Schizosaccharomyces pombe: one gene and its partners. Changing the gene in region 2 together with the main gene of any one other region gives a genetic interaction. Each region holds a gene or a part of one and is shown on either strand. Other genes may lie near its edges.

Region 1 (11,166 bases), on a different chromosome or scaffold from region 2:
TACCCTTTGGGATGTTTGTCAGTTTATTTCTATTAAGTTATTACAATTACAACAAAGGAGAAAAGTTAACATTTTTAAAAATAAAACTAGTAAATATATAGCATCAATCGACAGAGTTAGGTTGCCGTAAGAATCATCTCGTAAAAGCAAGTTGATCTTACTAGTTAAATTTGTTGCGAAAGCTTTTATTTAAAAATTAAAAATTCACTCTTGGTAAATTTCCATAACCAATTATCAGTCACTTTAAGCCTATTTCCATCTTCTTTGGTGAATGCATTACAATGTTTACATGTCTTAAACCTCACCACGGAACTTGTTCTTGCGATTTACCTTCTTCAATCGTTTAAGTAATATATCAAAGAGAAGGAGTATTCATGGAGGAAAAAAGGGTAAAATGTAAAAAAAAACTTACCAGTACCATTGGAACTTGGAAATATATTCAAGCTTGCATCTTTTTCGCGATTATACTAATTTCGAATTTTTACGGCTTGAAATCGTTCACCGACGGGTTCCTTTTACGAAGAGCTGTTTTAAACCAAACGTCTTTATGCGAAAACCCGCCTGCCGATGTGCGCGAATGGAAAAATTCATCAGGTTGTTGGGCTCCCAAAATATTTGAACGGGCCGTTATTGTCATCATAGATGCTCTCCGTTATGACTTTTTAATACCTTATAATGATAGCAATTATTACCATAATGCATTCACGACTCCATACGAAACTTCTGTCCTTCATCCAGAAAACTCTTACTTAACACAATTCATAGCAGATGCCCCAACTACTACATCTCAAAGATTGAAAGGTCTCACTACTGGTTCGTTACCAACTTTTATTGATCTTGGTTCTAACTTCGCTGGAACAAATATTGATGAGGATAATCTGCTTCTCCAATGGAAATCATTAGATAAACAAATCGTATTGCTAGGTGATGATACTTGGGACGTATTGTTCCATGATTATTTGAATGAGACACTCTCTCAACCTGCTTTTTCTTTCAATGTACCTGATCTTCATGGAGTAGATAATAAGGTTAATCAATATGTATTCGATTATATAAAAGATGCCAACTTTGATGTCCTAATAGCACACTACTTGGGCGTTGACCACGTTGGTCACCGCTTGGGACCTGATCATCCAACAATGCGAGATAAACTGAATCAAATGGACAGGTGTGTGAAAGAAATGATGGATCTACTGGATGATAGTACATTACTCATTGTCATGGGAGATCATGGTATGGACAACAAAGGAAATCACGGTGGTGATTCATTCGATGAAATTAACTCTGTACTGTGGATGTATAGCAAAAAGCCAACCTTTGGCTATTTGAAACAACCAGGTAAAGTACTAAGTGCAAATCAGGTAGATCTAGTTCCTACCTTAAGTTTGCTCTTAGGAAATCCCATTCCGTATGGCAACCTTGGTACCTTAATTCCAGAACCTTTTTACTACTATGGAGATGAATATTTGTCGAAAGCCCAAAAGATTAATATCGGTCAACTCAATCGCTTCTTTAGCGAGTATGATTTAGATGCTTCTGACTTCCTTTCGTCCTCTGTCCATAAAAATAATAACTCTTATTTAGATCAATACTTTTTAGACTTTGACTATGCAAGAGACGCATTCTCTTACTTTAAAGCAATTTGGGCGGAGTTTAGTCTTTTCCCTATGATCATTGGATTTTTACTTCTTATTATAGGTGGATTTAACTTGGCTTTGTTGATGCAAGATAAGTCGGTGATTTTTAGGATGTCTGCCAATATGGCTCCATCAGTCATGAAATGTTTGCCGGTTTGCTTAATTTTAATTTTGGCAAACAACGAACTTCATTCTCCGTTCCCGGCGGAATTCTATGTATTACTTCCTTCATTTTACATCCTGTTAAATTCCTTTAATCAGAAGTTGATGGAGTACTTTAAAGGTTTTGTCAAGTTGGACTACTTTAGTATTTTTATAACTTTTCTACACGTTTGCAGTTTTGGTTCCAACTCTTTTACAGTATGGGAAGATCGCCTTTGTCACTTCTTGATCATCACTATTGGACTAGTTATGTTTTGCAAATGCTTTTCCGAAATGAGCCCCCTTTTTGCATGCTCTACTTACTCTGCATTGGCATTTATCCTTTTACAGGTAATTTCTTCGTACGTAACTAACTGTCGCGAAGAGCAAGGTGCGTTTTGTGTTAGCACGTACATCTCAACTCCTGATAACAGCCTCAGAACCTTGATTGTTTTGGCGTTAATGGCTCTTTCTTCTATTATATTGCCTCTCATTCTGCAACTTCACTTGCGACGCGTTCTTGGCCTTTCTTTAAAACTTTATCATCTTTCAATCCTCTATTTTTTCGAGTTAATATCTTCAATATTTTGGATTGCTCATCATGTTTTCGCGAATGATGCTTTATTAGAAAAGCAGTATCATCATGTTTTATACTCACTTGCAAATACTTACGTAATTTGCATTCTTGGTGTTTTGATATGGCAATTCTTCTTACTGTCGCGATCCAAGTTTGCTAAAATAAATGTCATCGAAAGATCATATTTCGTTTTTGCATTACTATATTCTTTTCTCTCATTTTTGCAAAGGCCCCTGGGACATCTCTCTTTATTTTCTTGCTTTTTACAAATCCTGCTTCTTATTCAACTTAAACAATGGCAGCCAAGTGTTGGTCACAACTTCTTTTCGGTAACGCTAGGTTTATTGGGATTGTCGCATTTTTTTACAACGGGAAATCAGGCTGCTATATCGTCTCTTGATTGGAATTTTGCATTCATTCATTCAAAATCTGCTGAAAACCAGGCTATAAGCGCTATATTCATGTTTTTGCATACGGTCGGTGCGCCGATACTTACTTGCATTTCGATTCCACTATTTTCATTCGAACCACTTTCCAAGAAAAATAGATTCTTGATAAACTTGTTTCGATTCTCCTTTTCTTTCATTCTTTATAACCTATTGATCTCGACGAGTACTGTCTTCTTTGCTGGATTTTTTCGTCGCCATTTGATGGTTTGGAAAGTGTTTGCACCTCGGTTTATGCTAAGTGGAATATTACTTGTTACTCATCAGCTCTTTGTCCTGATCCAATGCTTCGGAAGTTCTGTTGTCAAATTTCCTGAAGATGCTGAATAACAATAAAGCTTCACTGCCCTCGTTCAATTTGACGTATAATTAGAATTGTAGAAATATTTTCTTTTATATCCTTTAACATTTTAAACCTTATAAGGAAATAATCAAAACCACTTATCAATGCATTTTCATCATTATTATTTTCTATGGGTACACCCATACTACTCCTTTACGCCTTCTGATATGTACATTTAACATTCACCACAATCATCGTACCCAATTTTTAACAAAAATTAATTATGTCTGTTAATAAGTTGCTTAATTTATAATCAAAATTTGGTAGCTTGACAAAATGTTCTCTTTGCTACGAAAAGCTATAGATGTTAATCGATCCCGAATTACCTTGCATGGGATTAAAGTGCATAGTATCAATACTTTTCGTTTAATTCCTTATTCTTTATCCTTAACGAAGCAAATTCGATTTTATGCATCAGAAGGGACAGATGCAGGTGAAATGGAAAAGGGTCTTTCAGTAGTAAATGCCAATCACGAAAATCGTCCTTTCAGAGACCTTGAAGGATATCACTTCAACACATTTACATTTTTGAAAACTTTAATGGATAAAGGATATACAGAAAAAGAGGCCGAGGGTCTTCTCGAAGTCACGAATATGTTTGTTACTGATATGCTGCGACATAGTCATCTCAATTACCTGTCTGAAGCTGATTTTGAAAATGTACGTATGATTTATTAAGCTACAGAATCCTTCCGTCTTTAAATTTATCTTTAATTATAGATTGACGGTTTTTTTTGCTTTCAAATGAACTGTCATAGCTAACTTGTATAGTGCTCCTATTTGTTTCGTACAGCTTTGTCGGAGCTTCGCTCAGAGAAAATAAATATGAGAAAAGATCAAATCAGTTCGTTACGTTCAGGCTTGTTTTCAAACCAAAGGGAAGTAGAAAGTTTGGAACAATTGGTTCACGAGCAGTTAAACAAGCTTAATACCGAAAGCAAAATGGAGTTTGAAAATCGGAAAAATGATACAAAGAATGAAGTCCAGCAATTGAGTGCAAGAATTGTTGAACTACACAATTTATTAGCCGTTTCGTTAGGTAAATTGAGGGCTGAAAATGAGAGGCAGAAATGGGACCAAATAAGAAAAGCAGCAGGTAAGTATATTTATAGTTCAAACTAGGTATTTGAAATTTCATTTATTAATTTCCTTTTCTTTTTCAGGTGTGGTGATGGCTTTTACAGGGTTTTTAGTGCTGGTTATTCCATTTGGACTTGGAGTACGAAGCAGAAAAAAAGAAAAACAAGATGAGCTTGATAATTTAGGTTCATTTAATTTAGATAACAAGCGCGATGATTATACTGATACTAATCTCTCCCATATGTGAGTTATGGCCAGCAAAGCATTTCGAGCTCTTCATTAATATCTGTCCTTTCTTTTTTTTTGTGTTTTCTTCTTTGTTTATGAAAATGTTCAATTAGGTTTTATGGAAATATGCAAATATTAAGTTTTATTAGTACTCCTTCTGATCATGAGACCCCTTGTTCTTATTGTACATGGAAATACCATTATGAATAGCATAATAATTGTTTGCATTGCAGATGCTCATACTAGCGTTGAGCTGTGATTTTTGCCTTCTCAGACAAAATTTTTGTCCATTTCAAAACTAAATCTATAAATGACTTTTCGTTGTTTTATTTAATTTTAAAATTAACGATACTCGGAATGGCTATTGCATTCTAGTAGTCTCCTACAATTTAAAACATCTTTGTGTTCGTGGTTGATAAGTAAAGTGGTTAATTATAATGATAATAATAAATATATTATCTATAGACTATTTGATTATTAATTTATTGTAAATCGTGTAAATGTCGACTGCAGATTTCAGTACCTCGCAACTCAATGTATATAGATTTAGCCTAGGGAAATTGGTTTGGCCGCTCCACATATGTCGTTAGCATCATTGCCGCTCGAAAAGTTGACGAAAGTAGCTGATGTAGATAAGAGGGAGACCATATATATTGATTTACTCAATTACGAAAAACAATTGAGGAATCTGAACAAAAATACTCGCGAGGATTCATTACAAACTAATTTAAATCCCCTACTTTCGTTAATCAAAAAATATGGAAATTTTATTGCTTATCCAACTAGAAAACTTCTTTCTAACTGTATAATTGCACTCTTAAAAGGACGTATGTGAGATTTATGGAAAATGGTATATGTTAACAAGTATTAGTCGAGGGTTATCATCAGCATCGAGTTTTACTTTACTTCGTGGATAGCATTCATGAGAAAAAAGACTATATAGAGATTATGTATGTCTAGAATATTTGAAATATCAACTAACCGGTAGTAACGTTTTATCCGTTCTGACTTCTTGCTTGGAAGAATATGGAAATCAGGTATTACTCTTTTGGATATTTTCTATAAACTTATAATTAACCTTAATAGATCAATCAGCAAGAGACTTTTATAAGATTTTTCTTCAAATATTCGAAAACCAATTTGTCATATGGAGTTCGCTCAATCGCATTAGATGGACTGTCGAAATGCATTGAAACATCTATTCAGTCTACGAATGAAGATTTGATAAAAGAAATATGGAAATGTATTAAATCAAATTTAAACACTTCATCAACGAATGTTCTTTTATCTGCACTTCGTTGCGCTTACTACATTCTGGGCTCTTCACGTCTTCGTAATTCAGAATTGGAATGGTTCAAATCTTTTCTATTTAAAAAATCATCAATTGATAATTCTTTGCTCCATTCTTCTTTAGGAAGATGCTTTTCTGCACTTGCAAGTGCTCAAGCTGACAAATCGATTGAAGCCGCTGCAAACGCAGTACCCTCAACTCCAGCGGATGATGAGAACAATGAGGAAGTAGAAAATCGGTCTACTACTCGCCGTTTTGATGAAACTGAGAGTTTTCGTCACGCCCTACGGATTCTTGTCGAAAATTATCACTCCAAGCATGCAAAGTATGAAAGCTCAAAAGCGGTTCTTGTTTTTGCCGTTAAGCATCTTTTTCTAATGCAACGTCCATCCTTTGTTTCTCTCAACTACACTACTATAGTGGATATTATTCTATTACACCAATCACACTCTACTTCAAAAGAATGGTTGTCTTCGTTGGAGCAATATCATTGTACATACTTGTTTCGCGATGTGATTGGAAGGCGATTTCTCGATCAAAGCTCTGAATTGCAGGGAATTGAAATACTTTTAAAGAGAGTGTTAGAGCCTTATTTAAAAGATCAGTCGAAGATTTCGGAAATTGCTGTTAAGACTGCGATGGCTTCCACCGCTGATATATTAAGCCGATCAAAGGGTTCGGCTACTGCTTTATATAGTCAGTTACTAGATACTACACTACAGATTCTATACTTGGGTAAAGATTCATTGAAGAATGAAGTAGCCTGGTTGCTGCGCTGTTTACTATCCGTTATGCCTTCTCCTTTAATGCCCACTTTGCTTGCTCTTTTTAATAGATTAGAGTTGGAATTTAAGCACCTTCGTTCTAAACCTAAGGAAGTAAGTCCCAAATTGAATGTTGGTATTTTCAATAATCTTACTTTGTCGTTGATGTCGATTTATGTTGCCGCCGAAGAAAATCCTCTATATGTTGCTTCTTCTATATTTTCAAAGTTATTTAACTTCTCTTTGGATTTGATTAAGTCATCATCTAAATTGGATTTATTAGCGGCACAAGCACAAATCAAGACTGGTTGGCGACTATTAAGCGCTTACGTTTCTTTTGGTCCTTCTTTTACTAGAATGCAATTGTCCCAATTGCTAATTTTATGGAAGAATGCCCTTTCCAGAGTACCTTCAAAAATACATTCACAAAATTTCATGGAGACAAATGCAGACATGTTTAATCGGTTTGAAGCGTTACAGTGCTTGCTTTCGTTTTTGGAGTATAACAAGATTTTATTCACACCTGATGTTAGGAAGCGAGTCATTATTTTCCTAAATAACTGCCTTAAATTCTACAAAGCTTTTTCGTTAACCAAAAGGCTTGAAATTACCATGCCAATTCCCGCTTCAGATTATTCTCACTTGGAACTTCGCTCTCTCTTGCTTGCTCGGATTTTCCAATGTTTCTTCGAGTTGTCTCAGTTAAGTGGAATGAGTTTAGATGATCAAGAATTACTATCCACGACTGTGTCTACTATAGCCGAACTTTCTTCTTTACAAGGATATGATACTGCGGACGAAATAGTTCAAGCGAAAGCCTTTACTTCTCCAAGAGTTATACCTGGAATTGGTTCACGATTTTACGCTCAGCCAGAGGAAGAATTTCAAACAACCATGGATGATATACTTCCTTGTTATATTTGCGAGTCATCTTCTGATTCCCTGTCAGTGATTTCGAGATCAAACTCTGCAAAACTTCCTTACGTACCCCCGTCTTTAACTTCTTTAATTGATAACGCGATCCAGTTATTTGCGTCTATGTTTTGTCATCAACCTCCGAAGGTTATGGAGAGCACTCTCGAAATTATGGTAGCGTCTGTGACAAACCTCAAGAGTGGGAGAGATATTTTACGTTACAAGGCAGTAACAGCAAATACTTTATTTTCCATTTATGGATTTCTCTCTGCTTTCGATAACAAAAAAGTTACCTTGCCTGACAAGGTTGTATCCCTTATGATAGAATTGCTCGAAAACTTGACTGCTGTTAACGATCCGAAGTTAATTCCTTACATTTCGAAATCTTATGCGTTTTTGGCATATTTATATCAAAGCAAACCGACGTCCGTTTTGGATACAATAATTAAACGTGCTGCAGAGTCGGGAGATCCAAATTGCAGGGCTGTCTTGATTCTAGCCGTTGGCCATATATTAAAAAAGGTTGGTTCCGGAGTTCCCCAAACTACCCTCATCACCGCTTATCAGCTGCTCAAAGTTTTTAATACTGATTCGAATGACCTTGTTAGAGAGTGTTCTATTCGTGCTTCTTCCGTTTCTCTTGGGTCTATCGCAAAGACCATTCCGAGTGTTTTAACTGCCCAGACACGCATTTTATTGAGCTATATGCTATTGCCAGAATGTGATATTGATGTTCAGCTCTTAAAGAAGAGAAACAGTTTATTTTTCCCGTCCACTCTTTTTGCCAATTACTTGGATTGTTTGATAAATGAGCTTGGACCAAACTTGCGATCCGATTCTTCTACTTCGCATTTCGCATTCGATTTAGCTCACCAATTGCTTTTACTTAGTAGAGATACGGGAGATAACATTATACACGTTTACAAATGTTATCAGCACCTATATCTATTTACACCATTAGAAACCAATTCTGATTTCTTCATTAGGGAGCTTTGTGGTAACATAATTGACCTAAAGCAACCTAAACGTAGGGAAATTTCTATTGAAGTTTTATACCAAATATTGCTTCAAAACCATGAGTTCTCGGAATCATGTTATAAGCGACATTTTGATAGGCTTATTTGGCAATCACTCGACACCACTCCTGACAACAAGCTTTTGAAGAACATACTGTATATCTGGCTAAACGATTACAAAGATTCGGACATACACTCATGGGTAAATATTTTACTTTTTCTTGTCGGCATAAAAAATACTTCGAGTTCTGAAAGATCCAACGAACAAGATATACAAAACAACCTAGATGAAGATACCGTATCTTTGGCTTATGGAACTTCCGAAAACGCAAGTAATCCATTATTCCAGAAGAATTACCGTTGGCAGACGCAGTTTTATGCAGCTACATGCCTTAAAACATGTATCTCTGAAGTGATGGCCGAAAATAAAGAGCCCGCAAAATACTTGATTTCTAGGATATCTGACCTAGTCCGTGCTGCTTTTGTTTTGTCTACTTCAGACAACTTTTACTTGAAGCAGGGGGGTTTTGAACTTTTGGATACTATCATAACGGTAAGGATAATCTAAAGGAAACTCGCTAACAATTTTTTAGGACTTTTCGAATGTTATGGATCCTGACTTTGACGATGTTTCTCTTTTGGACCAATTTCAAGCTCAAATCAGCTCTGCTTTTAGTTCCGCGTTTGTAGATGATTCATCTCCTGAAATAGTAGCCATGTCTCTTAATATAGCTTCCAATTTTATTGGAACTGGACTTCTAAAAACCGAATCGCAAGCAGCTAAAATCCTCAATTTATTGAAAGAAGCGTTGGAATCTAGTTTACCAGAGAGGGCTGGATTTGAGGAAAATCGTCACTTTAAGTATGACTCGAAATATTTTCTTCGTATTGCTACTTTATCAGCTTGGGCTTCTTTGCTGGTACATTCAGCGAATGTGTCATATTTGAAAGAATTTCTTTCCTCTAACATCCGAAGGCTATCTTCGCATTGGATTATGGCTTTAAGAGGATATTCCAGATTGCAATTTGGTCCTAGTTTAGTAAAAGATTTTGTAGCTGATACCTCTTTCACTCGGGTCCAAAGTATAAACCCTAAAATACTTCTCAATATTTATGAGAAATCTTGGCTGAACATCGCAGAGTCATTAACAATATTACTTTCTACTGATGCAAATCTGATTTATGGAATATTAAGTGGAGATGAGCTGTCGCTTTCTGAGGAGGACGTATTCTTCCAAGACAACATAAATTATGCTTCCAACAGGTACTCTTTTAACTTTTTTTTGTTTAGTGTCTGCTTCCAATCTCTCTTAATTCCAAGCACTTTGCAAGGCTTTAGAAATCCAGTTTTCAGAATTATGCGAATTATGACTGAAGTTTTAACTGAAGAATTATGTACCAAGGTTCTTTATGACCATAATGTGTTCCCCGAAGTTGTTGATCTTTTAGTTCGTTTGATTTTGACGGAGGATTGGGAAACGAAGGCTAGTATTGTCATTTTTGTGAAAAAGTTAGCTCTTGCTAACCCGGCACACAATGACTTGAAGTTTTGTGAAACAGATTCTGTAACATCTATGGAGCCTACTGTATCAGAAAGCGTCGAAATGCTTTTTCAATTGGTCAAAATATTGACATTAGCTTTAACGGTTAGAGTGCCGGGCCTACGTTCTGATCCAGCTGAATCAGCTACCAATAAAAAAGCTAGTGAATTTGTTATTTTGTGTTTTAATGCATTTCTTGATGTTTCCAACATTTTCCCCGCTATTGTGCGTGTTGATTTATTTGCGACAGCAATGCATGTTTATGAAGGTAAGTCCTAAAAATAAACGAATAATTTCATGCTAACTGTCTAGTCATTATGGACGATCAACAACTATTAAAAAATTCTAAGCAAGAGTTGTTAGCTGCTCTTAGAAAGTTGTTGAGTACAATGGTTGAGCAAAATGATCACACATGTACAACTTTGATATACACTCTTTTTGAACACCTCCTTAACATCTACAAAGAAACGATGTAAGTTTTGATTGCCACCTGTACTATTACTAACCTTAAAAAAGTAATGATAGTGATAAAAAGGAGAAAAACGAAACTGCTTTTATGAGCATGGTCCTTGTACTTACTCTTGCAGCTCCTATATTAGACAGTGAGCAGCTTGTGGTACACGATTTTTTGGAAGAACTATTCTCTTCCTTGAAGAGCTCAGAAGAGGTTTGTTAGGAATTTTGGAAGGTTTACATTAACATATAGGACTTTGCTTTAAGAACTCGTTGTGTAACATCGCTGATGTTAGTTAACAGTAAACACCCAAGCATGAGCGCTCTTTGCCGTTTCATTATTTACAAATCGGTTACGATGCTACAGAACGGTGAAGTTCTGAAAAGTGGTGATTATGTCACGGAGTTTATACCTGCATTGCTTGATATGCATGTCCATATTCCGGAGGAGAAGAGTAAGTGTATTATTTAATATTATTTTATTCTAACTTTTAGAAAAATCATTTTTAAGCATGTCTATTCCGATAGCTGCACATTTTAGTATCCTCGTCGAGCACGCTGACGCACGAAAAAGAATCGGTGAAAAACTGCTGAAGATTATGGCTATTCAGCCAGATGAGGCCAAAGCAATCATTCAACAACTTTCTCCTAGGCAAAAAAAATGCGTTGAAGAGATCTTAATACAAAATGTTGAGTAATGTTTATACTGCGAATTTTCTTATATTTTTATACCT
Region 2 (11,166 bases):
GTGTGCTCCTCCAGCATTTCTTGTGGTTTGGACATGCGTTATATTATCAAGGGTACGCGCGGTAGCTTTTTGAAGTTTGGCATTGATCCCCAAGAGTCCCAATTGAACGAAGGAATGTCTCCCATGGATCCAGGTTATGGTGTCGATTCCTCCCATCATTATGCAACCCTTTGGACCCTACCTCCCGACATCGATGTCAGACACCCCCCAAAACCTACGAAGAGCACTTTAATGACCATTGCCGGTGATTATCGTCGATTCTATTTGGAGGTGCATGAAGCCTTGGTCACGAAGACCTTTGAAACTTCGGTGAAGCCTCATCAAGTTTTGTTGGTAGAGAAGATCATTGAGGCTGCTTACAAGAGTTCCCAATCCTCTACTTCCATCCCATTGTCCGAGTAGGTCTCATGGTTTTGAACCTGCGCGTCTTTCCAAATTCTTCTTTTTTTCTTCCTTCCAGACAGTTTATGTTTTTACGTTTTCTATGACTTTTCAGTAAGCATTGTTTTTGTTGTTTTATGTTTGGTACTGTAACCTTCGACATACTATATCTGATGACGAACCGATGCAAACAGATAGAACTGGTAATTAACCACACAAGTAAGTATATAATTTCTATCTGCGCATGTAAATATGCAAGCTATATACATACGTCTATCTATATCTTAGTATACCTATAAATATAAATATATATTATGTTTTCATCAGCAACAGATTTGGGATGGTATGTATATATGCGCGTATAATAAATAGGGATTTTGTATAGGCAGGTAGGAATAGAAGGAAGAAAGATACAACATATTAAATACATATACTAAAAAAAGTCAACTTCTATACTAAGAAAAAAATCATTCACAATATGACACATAGGGAAAATAACAAAATAAATAAAATATTAAGTTTCTTAAAAAGTAAAATTCATTTCTTCGTATTTTACAAAGACCAACAAAACAAAACACTGTTTTTTTTTTTTATTTTTTTAAGCAGAACACATCTCCATAAAAACAAGCATCTTTTTATTTACTCTGTTCCTTAATTCGGTTATATAATACTATTTCATACACAGGCCAAACCAAATTCGTTGATTCTCCCTTCTTTCAATCTTTTCTCCCAGTTGTTTACGCTATTGTTACCCTTTACTCGTATTCCATTCATGTGGCAAGAAAAGAATCCTAATTCCGCTGACGGATTTAAAAAGAAATTTTTTCGGACCGCTACGAATTCTTATTTGAGCGGAAGTGTGTTTAGTGAAATTTTTTACAAGGAAAGATTCTTTCACTAAATAAGTAAGAAAATGAGTTTTAACTAACTTTATTGAATACAAATCAATCATACATTAAATATCATTTAAATTAGAAATTCTGTGATGAATCAAAAAATCCTTTAAATGTACAGCGCATTTCATTTTTACATCGATAGATCATCAAAATACCATATTCCAAAAAAATAAAGATTCTTCCCTCGTAAAAAGGTCAAGAACATGAATCCATGCACTCGGCTAAAAATAAAAACAAAACAGAATAAAGATATATGTTGGATAAGAAACGAATGGATTCAATAATGCGGCTAGAATACTGTGTTGGAACTTTTGAGAAATTTCCTCAAATTAATATAAAAATTAATTAAAAAAATTTAGGAAAAAATACAAAAAATAGTAGAAGCTTTAGAAAACAATTCAAAAAATTATTTCAAATAAACAATCTTATTTGTTTATTGAACCCCACCAATTTGAACATATAAACCTTTGATTTGGTTTCTAAAAAATTCCAAAAAATTTTAATTAGAAAGGACAACTCAAGTGATGAAATCTTGAGATATGGCTTGTCGATCGCATAGAAAACGTTTGAACATTCGTTTATTTCATGTATTTTCAACATTTTTAATGAAACAATGTACTCATGATTCGAGGCTTAGTGAACCGAATGTTCAATAACCTCATTTACCCACTTTTTCCCTTCCGACATACTCCACCATTGTCGTAAAAAATAGTGAGATTTAACATTGCATTGTAATAGAAATAATATTTAAGAGCCTCTGGCCTGCCCATTGTGGATAGTGAGCAGGAGTTTACATTGGTTAAAATTTTTTTTTTCCTTTTTCAGTCGCATTTATTTTATTTTCTTTTCTTTTGTTTTTCCCAACATAAAGGGTCATTCCACTCTTTTCTTTCTCGCTTTAAAACATTCTTCGTTTAAACAACAATCCACTCAATTCAACGTTTCTACTATAGTTTTTGGATTCGTCTCTGAATTTAATAGGTGTTAAAAGTTTCTTCTCTATCTCAAGTTTTCTTTTTTATCTTTTAAACCGTTTTCGATCAAATTTTTTTTATTCTACTTTTACTTCATTTTTTAACTCAATTGTCTTATTCTTTTTCATCACCAAAAATGCAATTCCTTTCGTCTTTTGTGTTTGCCGCTTTGGCTTTGTTGCCTCTTTCTGCTATGGCTGTTGATGAAGCTGCTTCCGAAATCGCTTCTTCCACCAAGCCTGCCTCTACCAATGGCACTCTCAGCTTCTGCTTAGGCGTGAAGCATGCTGATGGCACCTGCAAGTATACGGACGATTACTTGGCTGATTTTGAGGTCCTTGCTCCTTACACCAACATGATTCGTACCTATGCCACTAGTGATTGTAACACTCTCGAGTACTTATTACCCGCACTTGCTCAGTCGCCTTACAACTTTTCTGCCATCCTCGGTGTTTGGCCCACTGACGACGCTCATTACGATTTGGAAAAGCAAGCTCTTATGCAGTATTTGCCTCAGTATGGTGTTGATCATGTTAGAGCTATAACAGTTGGCTCTGAAGTCTTGTACAGGAATGATCTACCTGCTGACGTCCTTGCCGAACGCATTTACGACGTCCGTGGCCTTGTTCAACAAAAGCTCGGCTTCGATGTTCCCGTTGGTACTGCGGATAGTTGGAACTTGTGGGCTGGTGGTAGCGGTGATGTTGTTATTACTGCCAGTGACTTTATCATGTCGAATGACTTCCCTTACTGGCAAGGTCAAAACACCAGTAACATGACCAACACCTTCATCTCCGATACTTTGGCTGCTTTAGAGCGCGTCCAATCCGTCAAGGGTACCAACAACGTTACCTTTTGGGTTGGTGAGACTGGTTGGCCTACTGATGGTCCTTCTTATGGAGAGGCTGATGCCACGGTTGATATTGCTAGTGAATTCTTCCAAGAGGCCTTGTGTAACATACGTCGTAAGGGCATTGATATCTTCTTTTTCGAGGCATTTGACGAGGACTGGAAGGGTGACTCCTCTTCCGTTGAACCCTACTTTGGAGCCATGTACAGCAACCGCACTCTCAAGTACAATTTGAATTGCACCTCTGAGTAAACAATTGAATAGTTATATTCAACTTTGAGCGTATCTTTTCAACGTTGGATTTTTATACTTCATGTGTATGCTTTTGCCATACTTGCTTGATTGATTATTGCCTTTTTAACATTTTAATTGCTCTTTCGCCTTCTCCGTCAACATAGAAAATACCAAAAACAAACAAACAAACTTTTACTATTTTAAAATTTTCCTAATTAGGAATTTATTAAAAAATATCCAAATTACTCAAACTCTACTGCATTTTCATTATCTACATGTCATTTTGCATTTTCAGGCATATTACTTAAACTTTTCCATAAATCTTTGTTATATAAAACAAACGAATATCCATTTTTCTCAATTCTCTACACCGCAATTGCTGAGTTTGTTTATACATTAAGAAACAAAAATTATTGTAGCACTTATTGCTTTTAATATTTGTAAGCCATTTCATCTTCAAGACTTTGAGATATCATGGAATGTGATACTGAGGTTTTTTGAAGTGTTTAAAGGGTGACTTGTACTTAGATTTCTTTAGCTTCGTTATCAGATTATCTTTGGTTTTGCGTGTATAACAGAAGTCACCAAACCAAGTAAACAATGATTTGGTTTGCTCAATTACTAGCATTTTAAACAGCTTATCAATGTCTGGTAAGAAAAACGAGAAGAAAAAACAGTATTTAGTTAATAGCGTTTCATGATCTCAGCGGACGATGATCATTTTCTTTTTTTAATCTATATTTCGCTAGAGCATACGTCTGTCCTCCAATTTTCACTTAAACAATATAGATTTGGCAGTGTTACTAGAAATACCATTCTTCAGTGCTTTATAATTCTTCATTTTTTTGAAATTGAGTTTATTTACTAATATAATATGCTTATCTAACGTACCGCATATAATCTGAAAAAGGCGTGTCTCTCCTTATACAATAGCGTGTTATTCTGGAAACAAATAAAGAATACATGCTTTATTATAGAAGTTATTCTCCTTAAATAAACTAGTTTTTCTTTTAATTTGCATTTTTGCAAGCTTTGCCGCTTCTTTTATTATATAGTGACTTAACTAGTTCCGCTCACTAAAAGTATAGCAAGATTTAATGTGTCGCTAAACGAGCAGCGCCTTTCGTACCCCTTACGCAGTTGATCTGAACAACCGAACAAGAACCAAGCTCCAAAATGGCGATTTTAAAGTCGGCTCTTGTAGGGTTTATATGCTTTTTGCATTTCTTCATTGTAAATGCTTCCGATAATAAAAGTCTTTTGGTACGTGGATTATAGTGGTTGATAGTCGGAATCCAGAGTAGAATATTGGACGCTAACTAATTGCAATAATTTTGTAGACTGAGGATATTATGGCATCTCAAGTCTGTAATGGAATGTTTGCCAAAAAAGGAAAAACATCAGAGATTACTCGTATGTGAATTTTATATAGGCTTTCATAGTTGCTTGAGGAATCGGGAATTTTTTGGCGACGGAAATCAACATTACGAGCCTTTTATCGTGTTTTGACACTAAGAGTTATGCTGTTTCTTCATCTTTTCTTTGAATATGTTTCAGTTACTAGCGATGGGAAATTGATCGTTGCTTAATCTTTTCAGAGTTTTGCAGATCTTTATCTATATCGTTTTGTCGAAATCTTGACTGTATTTCTTAAGCACCTTTTTATGTTAATCTTTTTTACTATTTGTTAAGTTTTGTTACTAACTTTGAACATAGTGAAAATCGATTCTTATACATCTGACTTTGGCGGCGCCATTCGTTTGCTAATTTTTAACTGGAAAGATGTTAATGCCATCGGCATGGAAGACGATGATGGCGAGAAGCATTATATATGTAACTACGAAGACATTGAAGCCGGTGTTTGCAAGGACGATGATTATGGTCTTTACTTGATTAACCAAACCGCTCCCCACGATTCTATTTACTCAGCCGCCGTAGACGCTGAATCCATGGTTAGTCCCCTTAAATATCCGGTTGAGCAATCTGGTCTATATTGCGTCTTTACCGCACCCCTTGAAGGCTCCAGCGAGGCTTACAAAATCACCGTAACCTGGGAAAACTATTTTGGCAATTTGGATGCTACTGATTATCCTCATTTGTTTTTAAATCCCATTCTTTTGGCGATCAATTGTTTAATTGGAATTTGGTGGTCTTTTATTATGTTCCGCTATAGGCATGATCTCCTTCAAGTTCAAAAGTATATTTCAGGTGTTGTTGCTCTTTCTATTGTTTGCACTATGGTCTCTACAGGTTATTTCTATTTCGCGAATAGCAAAGGTTACACTACAGGTAGTAAAGTTTTTGCTTTCTTTTTGTCGTTAGCTCAATCCGCTCGTCAATCCTATTTCGGATTTTTGCTGTTAATTGTTTCACTGGGTTACTCTATTGTTGTTCCTAGTTTGGGAAGTCTTCTTCGTAAGTGTCAAATTCTTGCTGGTTTGCAGTTCGTTTCTTCATGCTTTTTCTTGTCATCTTTGTTCATTAGCCCATCTAATAAAGAGTCTTTGGTCATTTTGTTTGCCGCTCCTGTCTTTTTAATCACCCTCTTCGCTATGTTCCTTTGGATTGTATTGGCTTTAAATAATACAATTCGTGATCTCCGTATTCGTAAGCAAACTGTTAAGGCTCAGATGTATACTCGTCTTTGGATTGTTATATGTTTTGGCATTGTCGCTTATGCTTCGATTGTCGCAGCCAATGCCATTTTGATTGGTATCTACGGTCAAATGAACTATTACTTAAAATACTGGAAACTTCTTTGGTTCCTTAATTACGGATACACTGATATTCTTGTTTTGATCTTGATGCTTACCATTTTGTACTTGTGGCGTCCTACCGAGAATAACCGTCGTTTCGCAATGAGTGAGCAAGTTGCTCAAGATGTAGATGAGTTTGAGATGACTTCCTCTCTCTCAAATGATAGTTTGCATCTGCATCATGAGCGTCCTACATCTCCAGCCAACCCTCATATTATTCATGGCAGTGCCGATGAGCATCAAGCTCTATTCGCTGTTGACGATGAAAGTGATGATGATGCCTCAACACTTGCAACTTCTAAGCAAAAGCCTGCTTAGATGTAACCACCATACATCAAACCAATCCTTATTATTTTTGTAATTAATTTCTAAGATTATTTCGAAGTTGATGTTATATAAAGTCTAAGCAATTAGATATTTCACGTTTCCCCTCTGTGTTTTTCCTTAGTACAAATTCGCTCGCTTTATAAAATTCTCCCAATATAGAGCTTTCCTTAAATTTAAATATTGTTTTTCTTATGTTTCTTTTCCGTAAGCATTTCATTATTGTAAGTTTTGTATCACAATAGTCAAACAATTTTCGTGCCAAATCCTCGCCAGCGCTTCTGAAGAAAAGTCAAAGATTGATGGTCTTTGGTGTTCCCAATTACAGGAATGTATTCTTTGACATATATATCAAACCATGGTGTTTCAACATCTTCAGCAGCCAGAGTTGGCGATTCACCCTTCGATATGTGATGCTGAATGCGTTCTTCCAAGTTCCCCCAAATCAGAAATAATCTTTCTTTAAGCTGAAGAGTCATCTGCGGGTGATCAGCTAAATTGCAAGGTTGGATTTTTGAGCTGTTAATAAGTTCCGCAGCGTCAGAATCAAAAAATATGACCGGTAAAGTCACATTCGATACATCCCTTACGAGCAAGGCAAACATCCAAACATACGAAGATGGTGGTTGAGATAGCACAGCAAACTGCGTCAAACTCTTTGGCCAAAAATCTACCACCTGAACGCGTAGCCTATGTTTCCTCGGTTTGAGAAGATTCTGCAAAGGTGCATGAAGTATGGTAGAAATAGTAGTCAATTTTAAACTAGCAGGTTCATTTATGACATGGGCCGTAATTTCATTAACAGAAGTTTGCTTTAATTCATGGGCGATAAAAGGATTTTCCGATTGTTGGCTTTGACTGAGTTTCTCGATTACTGCTTCTATACCATTTTGGCAATTCTGAACATAAAGCCTTTTACGTGACTTAATTTCGTTTAGTTCGGGTTCTTCCGAATCGACTTTTTCTATACTCATATTATAACGTTTTGCTGAATCCCCATGAAGTATACATTCCAGATAACCAAGGTGATCAATTTTGGTTCGCACATTTTTCATAACCACATAGTCACCTTCTTTAATGTAGTTGCGGCAGTAAAAGTCGTGCTCATCCCATAAAATGCACCTTATAGAAAACCGACCAAAAGGGCCCCTCCATCTCGAGGAGCTAGTATACGGAGACATTGGAAAAAAAAGCTCATTTTCCGTATAATCAGTGACATAAAGAGTAAAGTTTTTATCACTGTACCAAGTTTTAATTACCTGAGCGTAAAAGCTACAACGTTGATGTGGAGTTATTTGTGATAGCAGAGAAAAAGAGACAGAAGGGTAACTCAATCCAGTTTGATTTTGACGAGCAGAAGAGGTACTCAATAATTCGCCATTTTTATGTTTATTAGTTTGCTCATCCCAAATTTTATTTAACAACAAGGCGAATTGCTCTTCCTTGTCTCCCGTTTTCATTAAACGAGGCATTGGTTGAGGACAGAGAGTATCTTTGGAATTAGAAGAAAAGTCTGGCCAAAGTGCATATCGAAATTGATCCTTAGACAAACCTTGAGTCCTGTCTCTATAACTTCTTAATGTGATTTGATGAAGCAAAAGCGGTTGCCCCACCTGCTTGATTACAGGCAAATCATTTCCCTGTTTGCTGAACAAGTGTATCTGTAGTCCGATGCTTGATGTATCACATGTTGGATCCCACAAATATACGGTGGTTACCCAATCTAAAAACATGATTATTAGCTCTTGACTGGAAAAATAAAAAGTATAGTTTCCACCATGATAAGCAAGCATACCCTTAGTTCCATGTAGACTTTGGCGACTAGGGGTAAAATCTTTTACTATTCCAAACAAATTGACAATAGTATTCTTCTTTTGTAATTCTTGAGAGCTTCTAATGGACTGAAATGTAAGTTCCTTTTTCATTGTTAGCAAAACAAATATAAATCCATTGATATCTCACTCCAATCTTATATTCTCCAGCATTTAATAACTCATTCAACTGAAGACTGTCAATAACGTCCTCTCCCATGCTTGATCAACGAATGATCCAAATATCCTTTAAGAACAACAAATGAGTTTTAGCCTTTCTCAGAAACCTAAATGGAATTGGTAAAAGCTTTTTAAACCAAGACAACCCCTTGAAAGTGATGAACCTTCAGATTATTCAATAGACTGCGTGAGAGTTACTTGTTCAAGCTTGATCATTCCCCTTCTTCAAATTCCTAGGATGAACTAAGGGTTATTCAGTTTTATTTTACCAATAATGAATTTGTTTCTTTATCAAGCAAAAGAATGACCCACTCCTCAATCTTGAGGTTATGAGTGTTCATGGCTAGCTATTAAATGGATCGCCGTAAAGTCCTTAAGCTGAGCGCAGTTGTAAAACTTTAGACATATCCCAGTTTCTGCTAGGCTATTATTGAAAGAGTTTGCCGAGTATCAAGATTTACTAGTATTATAATAAGCAGATCGCATACCGGTTCATGCCAATTGGTACTTAAAAATTTTAATGTATGCGGTTCATCTCGAAAACTCAAGACGCTTACTTTAGCTAATCTAACGTTCAGTTTAGAAAAAGAATGCAATGCAAAAAGCGATAGCTTATTAAAAGACTTTCCTAAGGTATTGCATTCACGATCCAGAACAGCAAACCTGCAACGATCTATTTTGGTTTTAAAAGCGCCAACCTGCTCTATGCGTTTAAACCCATGTAAGTTTAACTTACAAAATAAGCAATTACTTTCAATATAATAAAAAATTGATCCAATCGAATATAATATATACGATTTCATTGTCATAATACCTAAGTTTTGACAGTAGTTTGCTCATAATCTACAAAAAAGAATAAAACTAAAAGAAAGAAAAAAACATGCATGGTTGTTCGTCAAACCTAAATGCCAATTATGCAGCGATATAAATATCCCCCGATCATTTGAGCATAGCTTCGAAGACCAAAGATACTCAGCAAAAGTAGGGCAGGTAACCAGAAAGAGAATAGCATAAAGTCCATTCCTGCCTTTTTCAGTGTCTTTGCCTGCTCCTGTATTGCTCTGGTTTCTTCAGGAGTAAGAGCAGTAGATTTTCCACGACCAACAAGCCGAGATTGCCATCTCAAAGACCACCAAACACTTTTGTGATGATCGGGATCTTCAGATATAGCGCTATCTCTTTTACTAGAACCAGCTTGCGCTGTCGTATCATCAGCAAACTCAGAATAAGGAGGGGGTACATCATCGGGAATGGCCGATATACTTTTTAAGGTTGACAGCATGGCTTTTTGCATCATGGATGGAACTTCACTCATATAATTCTGAGGTAGTTCTTGAAGCGATGGAAACATTGTAACAGTTTTATTCCACATACTTTCACTATATGACTTGGTCTGAACAGCAGATTCCTCAATTTCGTTAACAATACTGGTTGATTCTAAGGTTTCATTTGTATTAATGGAGCCTTCAGAATCCTTAATAAGAGAGCGAGAAATACTTTGGGCTTGTTCATTATTTGCTTCCTTAAAGACCAGTTTTATAGGCTCAGAAGAGGAGAGGTCTATCGGTTTTTTACCGCTAGCTCCTATAACATCAGGCTTGGCACCGTTGGAAAGTAAATTAACACATATGTCTTTATGATCATACAATGAAGCATAATGCAGTGGTGTATAGCCAAGTGCGTCCCTTTTGTTAACATCGCATCCTGCGTTGCATAAGAACGTCGAAGCATTAGACAATCCACAGGCAGCAGTAAGGTGGAGAAGTGACCTACCAGATTCGTTAACAAGACTAAAATCAGAAAGGTATGGTGTCGTTGTATCTGTAACAAGAGCAAATGCTGCGAGGATAGTACTTTCAACACTGTCATCAGACTGATTACTGTCTTTTTTCACAATCCGCGAAATAACCGATTTAAGCGATTCCATATTGCTATCATGCAATAAGGTTTTTTTAGACTGACCTTTAGATTCACTGTTAGGAGGCTGCTTAATAGAATTTGTTATATATTGAGCAAAATCGTCGCGCCATGAACTCAACAATTTTTTGGATAACGTTAATGGGTTTTGAATAGATCCAGTAAGTTTTAAGCCTAAAACTTGAACAGTTAATTTGTAAAGTTCATTATCTAAATTATCTTCATAAGTAAACATTACTGGCGCTTCAGAAGATGAATTATAGTTCTGAAAGGTTACAGGAACGGTTCCAGCATTAGTTGCAGGAGGACAAGTCGCTATAATCGTTGACTCACTCCACGAAAAAGTTACAGCAGCTGGGTTGTCACCAAATAAACAGACTAATCCATTAAAAAAGTTCGCGCCAAGAATTGTAACTTCATAACCTCCCATGATTGAACCCTTATTAGGAATAATCCGAGATATTAAGGGAGCATGTGAAACATCAGGTGGAGTCATGTTTATAAAAGAAGAATCAACATTTTCTTTTATCGGCGTACTTACAAAATCAGGTTTAGCAACCTCATCAAATTGTGTAAGCAAGTTGTTGACACTACTTTTTTCTTCAACGGAAAACGAGAAATCATCTGTACAGTAAGGGAATGGGGCTATTGGGGCACTTTCATTTGTATGGGCTTCAAGCACTCCTTCCTCTTGCTGTTGTCTTTGTTGGAAACCAGCGGCATCGCTGGGAACTCGAACAACATGGAAACCATTCTTTGAAATGGAAGGACTTACGCCGCTTGGGGTAGTCATACTCAGCACAGAAGGGGATTTGCTCATACTAAAGGCTGAGCCCTCAACAC
Region 3 (11,166 bases), 1.6 Mb from region 2:
AGAGATAAAATTTATTATTATGGATTTAGAGATAATTAATAAATAAAGCGGGAATCCTTGTCTATACGCGGATATGAATTCAAATAAGAAAAATCAAAAAAAAAAAGAGAAATCACTTTAGATGAACAAATATTTAGATAATAGTAGTTAACATTTGATATACATGCTAATTATCAGAAGTAGCAGAATGCCATTTCGATAGGCTATTCATACTAAACTCATCATGTTCCTTATATGGATCCGTGCGAAAATCTTCTGATGAGTACAGGTTCAAAGCAAACCCGCTATCTGTATCGTCCGAAAATGTTTGCCATTGATCTAAACATGTAGTCACGGAACCTAAGCTAGCTGTGTCAGCTAATTCATCATCAAAGGCTTCAATTTGAAGCCTCAATTGGCTGGGTTTACCGGGCGAGCTTTCGCTTGTATCTTCAAAACCAAAAATATCTTCGACAGGCTCATCTTTAACATTGTCCGAGTAAACCTTTGGTGAAAGTATTTCAGGAGTAAAAAATGTCGATGAGGGGTTTTCGGGGTTGCCTTTCAAGTTGAAATTATTATCAGGATCCAAAAGATGCGGTACATCTCTATCTGATGATTCTTTTTCAACATCATGTGTTTGACGATTGATTGAGTTGATGCTCGGATTTTTTAGGGTGCTTGGGCTTGTCGAAGAAGGTCTGTCGTCGATGTCATTAGAACTTTCAAGAGAAATGCATTTATCTAAATCAGATTCAAACCGCAATACTTGCAATTGTGACTCCATTTTTCTGATTTCCAAATATAATGATTGCGCTTTAGCATCGACCTTTTTAAGGGCTTGTAAAATAACTACTCTTGTTTTCGGCTGTAGGGGTGCACATGTCGATAAATTTTTGGCATTTCTTTGTAATACCATGAGTTTCTTATTGAACTCAGTAATAGATGTTTCAAGTTGGTCAATACGTGTCTTAATTGTCCGGGCACGTGCAATTTCCATATCCTGTTTCATTTGAGCTTCAATTGCTGCTAATTCTTCCTCCATATACTTTGGATAGCAAGAAAAGTCTCTTTTAGGATGGTAAGAATCACTTACAGGCATTCGCAGACCAGCTGTACGAAGTGTTGAGATGTAGTTAATTTTAGCTACCCATTCTATCATGCTTTCTTCTGTTGGAGCACAAAGAGTCTCTTCAGATCCATCCCGAAATATGACGGTAAAAGAACAATTGCGTACATTCTTCTTATCTCTGTCACAATAGGCAAACGCATTAACAAGCGAATAACTGGTATCGGGGGAAAACTCTTCTAGAGGTGGAGTAAATACAAGCGGAGGAATTTTTGGAAATTCATATTCCATAGCCTCTGTATCTATACCTTGCAACGTGTCAAAACTGCTCGAGGTAGTTGTAAAATTTTTGTAACGCCTTTCATAAGCTTTCTTTTGAGCCATGAGATCTTTAGCCCATACCAAATTACGAAAAAAAAGTATTCTAGAAGCGGTCAACAAAACCAAATGCTCTTTGTATGAATTGTGCCCCACACTTCTTCGCTTCTTTTCACACCGTGGTAAAATGCCCAGCATACTGATACTAAAATCAACTAGTCCCGGGTCAGCATTGTCTGGTAATCCAATAAAATGATTGGAGAATGCCATTGGATGAGATCTTTTAGAAACAAGCTGAATTATCGCAGGGCTGGAAATCAACTTTCTAACGTTCAGCAAAGACGCAATATCTTTGATACCTGGAGATATGAATTTTCCATCATAAGAGAGAGATATTTCAGGCCGTGAAATATTCAATTGATTTTCTAACGTAAATGTGTAAGGAGAAAGCCCTAACCTTTTACGAGATGTGAAATTGTACTTTTCGTTCTTTTCCTTCTCAATGAGAAGCAACTCATCATCCAGGTTGACAAAAGGAGTAAAGGTAATATTGTCATAATAATACTCCATTATCTCCGGAGCTAATTCATCTATGTCACAGAGATTTATGAATTCCTGCTTCGTCATTTTATGCTTATTATTTGAATTAAAAACGTCAGTGTGGAGCATCATCAAAGAAAACACCAGAATGTAACACTGATCTTGGGAACTGAACATCCCAGGGTTACATTCAAAATAGCGCTTAGAGAATGCATTGATGACACGATCAATCTGTTGAGTTTCCTTAGGAAGGTGAGATTTAAGTAAAAATAACCGCAAGCAAAAATCCAACGGCCGATTTTCAAACTCCATTCCCGACATACAAAGGTGCAGAGCTTTGTTCAATGTTACATGATCCTTTTCTGCTAGAACAGGGATCATACGACTATAAGGAACTGTCTCTCTAAGCTTTGAGAGATAACTCTCCGCAGTATCATCTGCTGTGAGCTCCGGAACAGAAGAAAGAAACTTGGTCGGATTAGGCTTAATATCAGAAAATAAAGCCGAATTTTCAATAGTCTGAGCTACGCATTCGTCATCATCCCGGCGCAAAGTTCGAAAACTAAAAATACTAGAACGGTTTTCTCTCAATCTTTCTAAAGTCCTTTGGGTAGGAATCGTAGAACTACGAGGCCGTGACCGAGAGCTTTGTGGCTGTGGTTGTTCAACATCATTAGGAATAGAAGGCGAACGATACAACCGGAGGGAACCCACAGAAGAAGAAGGTGATGGAACGTTAGAAGTCTGATCGCTTTTATCAACTGGCTTAATGTAATCAGAAGATATGGAAAACTGGATAGGAGGTCTTTTTACTACAGGTAAAGAAGCAATGCGTTTCCCCAGGTCGGACATTTTGACACTACTTTTCCGAGTACCATTCTGTAAAATCGTATTATCAGATTCCGCTGACAAATTCTCATTTTGCTGGTTTAGAGGGCCACCAGCTTTATCGAGAGAACCAACTTCAGAAGGAGAACTAGTAGTTGAGTTAACATCGGGATTCCAGGACTTCCTAGACCACTTCGGAAATCGAAAAAATGATCGAGAAGCACGAAGTTTCGCCGAGTTGATACTAGATGGTGATTTCAAAGAAGGATTGGAACCGCTTAGGTCTGTCGAAATAGGAGACGTGACATCTTTTGGAAAATTGGAATCGTTTGAAACGCTTTGACTTGAATACGATGCAACAGGAGAATTTGCTTGCTGCAAATCCGAAGACCAGTTGTGGTTGAAGTAAAACGAGTGCTTGGCTCTTGCGATCGGATAAAAAATATTTTTTTTCTTAGAAGAGGGCGAATTACTCAAGTCGGTCTGTGAATTACTTGTGAAAGATCCGCTTGACTTTAGTTTACTGTTATGCTCATTTAGTTTTTCTGAACGTTTGGACAGATATGTCTGACTAGACTTTTTAAAGAAAGAGGAGAAACTAGAAGCGTTAGGAGAATTTACAGTGGTATCCTTTTCGGATTTATTTGAAGACTCCTGGCTGGAAGGAATTCTGAAGGTCATTTCGCGCCTCGGCGCATGTAAGTTGAAGAAAAAGAAAGACTTAAAAAAGATTGAAGTAAAGAGAGACCTCGAAAATGAAAGGAAGATTCAAAAAGAAATGTAATGTAAACTTAAGTCAGGATCTAAATTTATAACAATTGGAGACAGTAGATAGATTTGTCGACTATACGAGGATAAAACTGACTGTAATAAGGAGAAAGCAACCAACGTATTACCTTTAATGAACAGATATTTTTTCCCGAATAATCAAAAGAAAAATCAATTGAGAAACTACCGAAGCGAACGAACAAGGGAAAAACAATTAGTGATTAATATAATGCATGCAGCATGGAATGAAATGAAATGAATGAAAAGTAATGAACTGGAAGGTATGGAAGATGAAAAATGGTTATGAACAAAGAACGAGAAACTGAAACGAAGATGTAAAAGTGAAACTTCTGTGAGACGGTTCAAATGAATCGAAATTTTTTAAAAAAAAAAGCACAAAAACCAAGTGTGATCTGATTTAGGCAGCGCAGAGCAAACCGAATAAGCAAAGCAACGAAAGTAAAATGAACTCTAGTAATTTGAAACCCTCAATGGAAATACGAACACAAAATTAATGAGCAAAAGTCATGTCCTTGGGTTGATAGCAGGAAATTTAATGAATCGTCAATTGCTAACCAATTCAACTAATTAATTTCCCTAGAATTTTAATAATGAGTACAAGTTTTGGTGCTCCAGAAAAAAGAATTGAAAAGTAAATACTAGTTTTGTTGGTTACAGTAGTGTTATTTGCTCCGTCCACAACATGCCCGTGTCTTTATCGCCCAATGCATACAAACCCGCCCACCGCAAGGTATTCTGCCACACCCTTCCTCGTATGACCAAATCCGACATGGTCTGATAGAAACGTAGATAGCAAATGGCTAGCACGATGTTCCTGATAATCTAATGGGGCAAATGGCACCATAATGTAGTTTATTTTTTTATTTCTAATGTCAATGATTTAGAAAAATTTAGTTCGCTATCGCAAGTGCTTAAGATACACTACTTCAAAATTATAAACATAACAAATATTTTTAACAAGCTCAGCTGAACATGTTTCTAGGTTGCACCCTTTACTCATTATAATAATTTTTTTTTTAAAAATTAATTTTGAAAGCAAATAGCAACCAGATGTGGCAATAAAAAAAGTAACAAGTAATTTACCCACAACAGAAAAATCTAGGTATTTTTTATAATTTTAGAGATGCTTTTGTTTTACTATATACATAATTCCTAACTGTTCATAAAATTTATTTAACCACTTTACCAAATATTTTGTTTACATACCAATTGAAGTACAACCAAACCTGACCATTACAGTTATTGATCGTGCTCAATTTGTATATTGTTTTATAATGACTTAAAAAAGATTAAGTGCAAACATCAAGTATAAATTAAGATACTATGCTCACAAATTAGTGCCACAATTTTTGTAATAAGGCTAACTCATTCTTAGTAAATTTTACTTAAAAAAGAAGAAAACGAAAAATTAAAAGCACTTTTATTTTTCTAATAGTAAATGTATTTATATTTATGATATGTATAAGGATGGAATCATTTCACTTATATATTTTAAGTAAAAATTCCTTAGCTAGCTGAAACATTTTCCTTGTGATTAAATTTCTAACACTCAGTTATTTCGTATTTGTTTACCTTATAATAGAAGTACTTAAATATCGTTATTCTAATATAACGAATTGCTTCATCTTGGTTAAAAAATGCAGCGTCACTCTTAAGTCAAAAACATCAAGTACGCCGCTACAAACATGCCGCATCCGACAGCCGAAAGCGCATATACCGGTTTAAAAATCATCCTTTAGACGAGTGGACATATCGTTCTTAATGCTTTCTTATATGAATTGAAGTTTTTGGAAACTAATAGAAGGAAATGAAAAATCATGGCCGCTCCTGCAAATGCGTCTTCAAAAAAGGATCATGTTATTCCAGTCTTACTGAACGAATGTAGCATTGATTCTCCGTCTTTTAGGGCGAGCATGTATTATCTAGGGAATCAAATCAAAGCGTTTAACGAATGGTCTCATGATTTCTTATGTTGCTGCAACAAGTTTATCGAGTCAATAATGGCGATAGAGCCCATTGTCGCCAGTATGTCGTTGAATGCTATGCCTTCTAATGTTGCTTCAGGATTTTTTGATCCTGATTATGCAACAACCGCTTTGCTTCACGGTCAAGACTTATTTCGGTCGTCATATATGGTGCAACTTCAACAAGCTAAAAATTTACGGAAATTTATTGTTGCTCCATTAGATCTATTTCGAGATTCAAAAGTTAAGCCTTTGCTTCAATTAAATGATCGCTTTAAAGCCGAGCAAGCCAAGTATGATGCGGAAGTCTTAAGGTATTCTTCTCTTGGACATTCAAAAGATTTATCGCAAATGCGGGATGAAGCAAAATCTTTATACGAAGCTCGTAAAAGTTATTTTACAGTTGCTCTACAATACGTAGTTCGAGTTACCTCCTTTCGCTCATCCATTGATTTCATAGTTATTGAAAGCATTTGCAAGTTTTCAATTGAAACGTTTCGTTTGACTGATCGTCTGCACGAGTCCAATAGGCATATAAATGATCAACTAATTCGCTTACTCTCTTACGAAACTAAACTTAAGGAATCTTATCCTTCACTAAAAAGAATAGTATCTAACGTTTTTGATAGAATTGAGAAGGAAATTCTTAAGAGAGTACAGCCACCAACTAATTTAGACGCATATCGTTTCGATCCCCAGCAAATATGTCAAACAAACGCAACTAAACGTCAAGGGTGGTTACTAAGAAATATCAGTTCTAGCAAGGCAGATAACAAAGCAATTTGGAGAAAATACTGGTTTTTTGTCGACAATGGCTATGTCGGATATCTTATTAATGATGCCAATGGTGGTGTTTTTGAGAGCGAAAAAATCGGAGTCCTTCTGTGTAAGTTTTCTGTTTTACCAAGCAATCATCGGAAATTTTGTTTTCAAATAAAAACGAAGTCCGTGAGCTACATTCTGCAAGCCGAAACTCACATGGAAATGCTTGAATGGGGCAGCGTAATAAATAACGCTCGAGAACACTGTATCAATTCCGGGATATCTGCTAACCGAATCTTGTCTCCTACCTTACCATCGTTTTCTGCTAAAGCTACATCAATTATAAATCCACAAGTCAATGGGCGCTCAAACTCTACGGGGAAAATAGGAAAAAATTATCGTCCTCGTCGTACTTATTCGGGACGATTGTTATGTGGTCCAAACAATTATGAAGTTTCAACTATAATGCGATCTCCCACAATTTCAACTGTTCCTCCTCCAAAGTATCTTTCAAATTCCATAAATGGCGCTAAATTCCTTAATCCGCTTGCTCCATGGACCCTAGTCAATGCACCACTGATAACAAATTTGACTCACGAAACGATAACCAGCCTTTTGGACCAGGAAGCCTTTTTTCATGGTAATTCTCCTTGCGCCTTACTGGCAAATTTTTGGGGTTCAGTCAATTACGGCCATGTTTTAGAGCGTCAGAACGTGTACATTGAAGATCTATCAAATCCTTCTTATAAACGTTTAGCTAGAGAAATTCACATTGAAAAACTTCCTTCTGAGCTTAAGTTGAGGAATGCTGAATTTAGAGGTATATTTGGTGAATCGGAAGCATCTACCGTTTTATTTGTATGCCGTGTTTGTAGTAAAAGAGAGGATCAAATACGTATGCCTGGTCGAATGTATTGCACTATGAAAGGGATTTACATATATTACAACATCAATGGATTGGTCCTCATTGAGCATTTCCCCATTTCTAGCATTTTAAACGTAAAACAATTTGCTAGTACTAAATGTGATTATTTTTACATGAATATCCAGAACATTGGGACTGTAAGGTTCCGTCTCTATCTCGATTCTTCGAAAGCTCTAACTGACCGACTTAATGTGTTACTGTGCAATTACATTGCCGATAAACCAAACAGTTCAATACAACTGTTGTCATGTATCAAAAGATTGAATGATGATGTAAAACGCTTTGAAAGGGGTGGTGACGATAATGCTCTCAAGTCTTATGGGGTACAGCCATCTCAAGAAGATCTCCTTATTCGAAGAGGAAGGAGTAGTAGAGCGCTAACTAATTTGATCAATAAGAATGAGAGTAATGATTCATTTATGGAAGACCTCAGGGACTTCAAGATTGCTATGCTTCCGAAAGAGACAGTCCAAGTTGTTCGTTCTCATCATCTGGACGATATTGTATTTGATCGAGTGTACAATGTTTCTACTAAGGCATTGTTTCATATTGTTTTTGGTGATAGAAGCACCGTGTTGTCTGGTGCTTACAATCTTCATGGAGTAGATGATGTCGAATTTTTACCATGGGGAAAAGATCCAAAAACCAATTTGAGTCGTCGATACATCAATTATAAGGTTTATAATTACGACCAAGAAGGTCAATGTCAATCTTACCACTATGAGGATTGCCAAATAATGGACGTCCGCAATGATTATCATTTATACATTATGACATGGCTTCATCACTCTTGGACTTTGCCTTATAGAGATTACTTTAAAATCGTGACAAAAACTTCTATATCTCACCTTAGAAGGGAGAAGTCTAGATTGCTCATATCTGTAGGCCTTGAATGGATCGTTAAACCTTTTGCTATATCAAAGGTTATTGAGGCTGAATGTAGAAAACTGGCTATCAAGTATATAAAAACGGAAGTCAACTTTTTGGAAAAGGCAACTAGAAGAGCAAGAAATCAGCCGCTTATTGCGATAATAAATCAATATGGAAGAGTAGGCGACTACAATGAATCGATGGTTTATCGAAGAAAAATACCTTTTAACTGTGAATTGAAAAACCTGTCAATTATCGATATTATTCGCAATAATTGGTGGCTTTTTCTTCAAGGATTGGCAATTGATCTACTAAAGCTGCCGTGGGCTGTCTTCCACATTTTCCTAAGATATTTATTTTCTCACTCATTTTTGGTTATTATTTTTGCTTGTTCGGTTATCTTGAACCTTTCTCTCATGTTTTGTTTTGGAGCTAAGTACTGGGATGAGCGACAGAATAACAAATTTGTCGGGCAAGTTTTCGATGAGTTTAAAAATATTGAAACTTCTGCTCGTTATGTTTATATGAAGGACGTTGATGATTTATTAGTCGGACTTCCTACTTATTTGCACCCCAACGTCACTTATCCAAGTGAATGGTAAGTTTGTTAGTAGTACCATGTAATTATAAATGTTGATTACATGTACATTATATTATCTTTTTTTTGTTATTATTATTATTCTAATCTTTTTACAGTTTACAATCATTTGCTTTAAAAAGTTCTCCTCAAAAAAGTCACTGGTTACGAAAACGGAATTATATTGCAGAAAAAAGAAAAAAAATATTGGAAAATTTGGCGTCTCTAAACTATTACGAATATATAATTCACGAGGATGCCGTATATCAATACATTCAACAAGAGCTGTTGGGATGTGACAAAGCAAGGGAATTTGATTTATACCCACCCTCGATGCAAAGGTATTGCGATTCTTGCACGCAAGATTGGAGGAACCGCACTTTGTTTTTCGGCAAAGACACTCTAGCTACAAGATTATTGACACTCGAGACTGTGGAAAACGCAGACTACGCTGCATAATTGTTAATGAAACTGTAACTTAATTATTTTTATTGTTATTTTATTATCTTTTTTATATTTAGGGTTTTATGAGTTATTTGATCAAGCACTCGTTTTTTTTTGTCAGATACACAAATTAATAAAGTTGAATTTATTAAACATATATATACCAAAGATAAGTGTAACTCCTCTACATCTTTCAGAATCGTCCTTTCTATTGTTTAATAAACAAGGTAATGATATGTCAAGTTGTAGCCTTGATAACCGCAATGATTACAGCCATGCACTTGGCAGCATTAATCGACAGCACCACCGTAAATAGTTTAAAACCTTCATCTATCTAAGTAGAACGCAATTACATTCTGCGCTAAACACATATTTAATTCTTTGTACTCATATTTTGTCACAGTACTTGATAGTACGAGGGTTGCTTCATTTTATTCAATTGCTTATAAAAAGAAGTTTCCGTGTGATGGAAAACATCAAAGTTGCAAAAGTAAGCATAATGCGATTAGATCTAAAACTTAATTTTATCAAAATATTAACAAATAGGTCGGAAATGTGAAGTTTGTGAACAAAGGAAACGAATTGAACGGAACATTGCATTTGACAGCGTATCATTCTATTTTTTCAATCTCGGAAAATGGGAAGGAAATTTGGACGGCATATTCCATGATAAATAATGTAAAGCTTTGCTCTAACGAAAAATCATTTTGTATACGTATACAATGCCGAGACTTTATGTTCTTTTGTTGGAGGTTTCAAAGCACGGAGGATGCGATGGACGTATACGACACTTTACAGGAATTGATGTCTATTAATTCAATAAATATGCTATACGCATTTTACTATATGCCCTCCGGAGATGAAGAGAAACTGCCATCTTCTTGGAAATCATTTCTACTTGAAAATGAATATAGGCGCATGGGAGTAGGTGATTCCACCCAAGCTGATGGTGCTGGCGGAAATTGGAGGATAACTAAAATTAACGAAAATTACTCTGAGTGCCATTCTTATCCGCAAGCTCTAGCCGTTCCCGCTAGCATTTCTGACAGTGTTATATATTATGGATGCAAATATAGATCTAAAAATCGATTTCCTACCCTTACGTATCTCCATAAAAATTCTGTAAGTTTTACTAACTTTGAGAGGCTTTAATACTAATTTATTTAGTTTTCAATTACGCGGGCCTCTCAACCCCTTGTGGGTATTCGTCAAAATCGAAGTGCACAGGATGAAAAACTTGTTGAAGCTATATTCGCAACATCAATCATTCCTGGAAAAGAAAATCTTATAGTTGATGCGAGGCCTTCTACTAATGCGATGGCTAACATTGCCGTAGGCGCTGGAAGCGAAAACATGGATCACTACCGTTTTGCAAAGAAGATATATCTTGGAATTGATAACATACACGTCATGAGGGATTCTTTAAATAAAATTGTGAATGCTCTTAAAAATACAGATATTAGTGCGGCACCTCCATTGATAGAACTCTTAAACAGATCAAGTTGGCTTAAGCACTTGGCTAACATTTTACAAGGAGCGGTTCTTATTGTTAAAACAGTTCATTTTAGGCATGCCCATGTACTTGTACATTGCTCAGATGGATGGGACAGAACTTCCCAGTTATGTGCTCTACCTCAATTGTGTTTGGATCCTTACTATAGAACAATTGAGGGATTTTTTGCTCTCGTCGAAAAGGATTGGCTTTCCTTCGGGCATAGGTTTGCAGAAAGATGTTGTCATTTACCTGGTAAACGTATTTTTACAATCGACAGCTCATACTCAGAAGAACCACCCCAATCTTCACCAAGTTCGACTTTACAATACACTTTTTCAACAGTACGCTCTGCTTTAAGTGGCTTCTCAATTGACCATTCCGAAAAAATGATGTCTCCGGTCTTTCATCAGTTTTTAGATTGCGTCTGGCAAATTATGGATCAATTTCCTAATTGTTTCGAGTTTAACGAGAGATTTTTACGCCGTCTACTTTACCATCTTTACTCTTGCCAATACGGTTCGTTCCTATACAACTCTGAACGGGAACGAGCTCAAGCATCCGTCAGCACTCATACTCGTTGTATCTGGGACTATTTCCTTTCTCGGA

What was found.
Region 1: of SPOM_SPAC26H5.07C (region 2) and sip1, a mutation in one rescues a mutant of the other (synthetic rescue), as found in Schizosaccharomyces pombe (one large-scale study listed by BioGRID).
Region 3: mutations in SPOM_SPAC26H5.07C (region 2) and ymr1 together harm fitness more than expected from each alone (negative genetic interaction), as found in Schizosaccharomyces pombe (one large-scale study listed by BioGRID).

Annotation. Positions count from the first base shown.
Region 1 is NC_003423.3:1,330,692-1,341,857, forward strand, and holds the start of sip1 (Pof6-interacting protein Sip1 AP-1 accessory protein), read left to right. Parts: upstream 1-5,019; 5' UTR 5,020-5,032; coding exon 5,033-5,279; intron 5,280-5,323; coding exon 5,324-5,402; intron 5,403-5,440; coding exon 5,441-5,489; intron 5,490-5,538; coding exon 5,539-8,991; intron 8,992-9,031; coding exon 9,032-10,247; intron 10,248-10,291; coding exon 10,292-10,451; intron 10,452-10,495; coding exon 10,496-10,646; intron 10,647-10,685; coding exon 10,686-10,887; intron 10,888-10,910; exon of another isoform or gene 10,911-10,927; coding exon 10,928-11,130; 3' UTR 11,131-11,166. Other genes in the region: gpi13 (pig-O family ethanolamine phosphate transferase), read left to right, coding at 375-3,131; SPOM_SPBC27B12.07 (uncharacterized protein), read left to right, coding at 3,421-3,804, 3,916-4,240, 4,308-4,471.
Region 2 is NC_003424.3:4,126,809-4,137,974, reverse strand, and holds SPOM_SPAC26H5.07C (seven transmembrane receptor protein), read left to right. Parts: upstream 1-4,494; 5' UTR 4,495-4,511; coding exon 4,512-4,598; exon of another isoform or gene 4,599-4,675; coding exon 4,676-4,748; exon of another isoform or gene 4,749-4,971; intron 4,972-5,051; coding exon 5,052-6,409; 3' UTR 6,410-6,569; downstream 6,570-11,166. Other genes in the region: SPOM_SPAC26H5.09C (gfo/idh/mocA family oxidoreductase), read left to right, coding at 1-402; glucan beta-glucosidase Bgl2, read left to right, coding at 2,388-3,353; shelterin complex subunit Pot1, read right to left, coding at 6,661-8,138, 8,211-8,331, 8,378-8,446; mga2 (IPT/TIG ankyrin repeat-containing transcription regulator), read right to left, coding at 9,308-11,166.
Region 3 is NC_003424.3:2,483,112-2,494,277, reverse strand, and holds the start of ymr1 (myotubularin family phosphatidylinositol-3-phosphatase), read left to right. Parts: upstream 1-9,361; 5' UTR 9,362-9,531; coding exon 9,532-9,555; intron 9,556-9,611; coding exon 9,612-10,187; intron 10,188-10,232; coding exon 10,233-11,166. Other genes in the region: guanyl-nucleotide exchange factor Sec73, read right to left, coding at 167-3,415; ltc2 (BAR and PH domain-containing protein), read left to right, coding at 5,341-8,642, 8,741-9,080.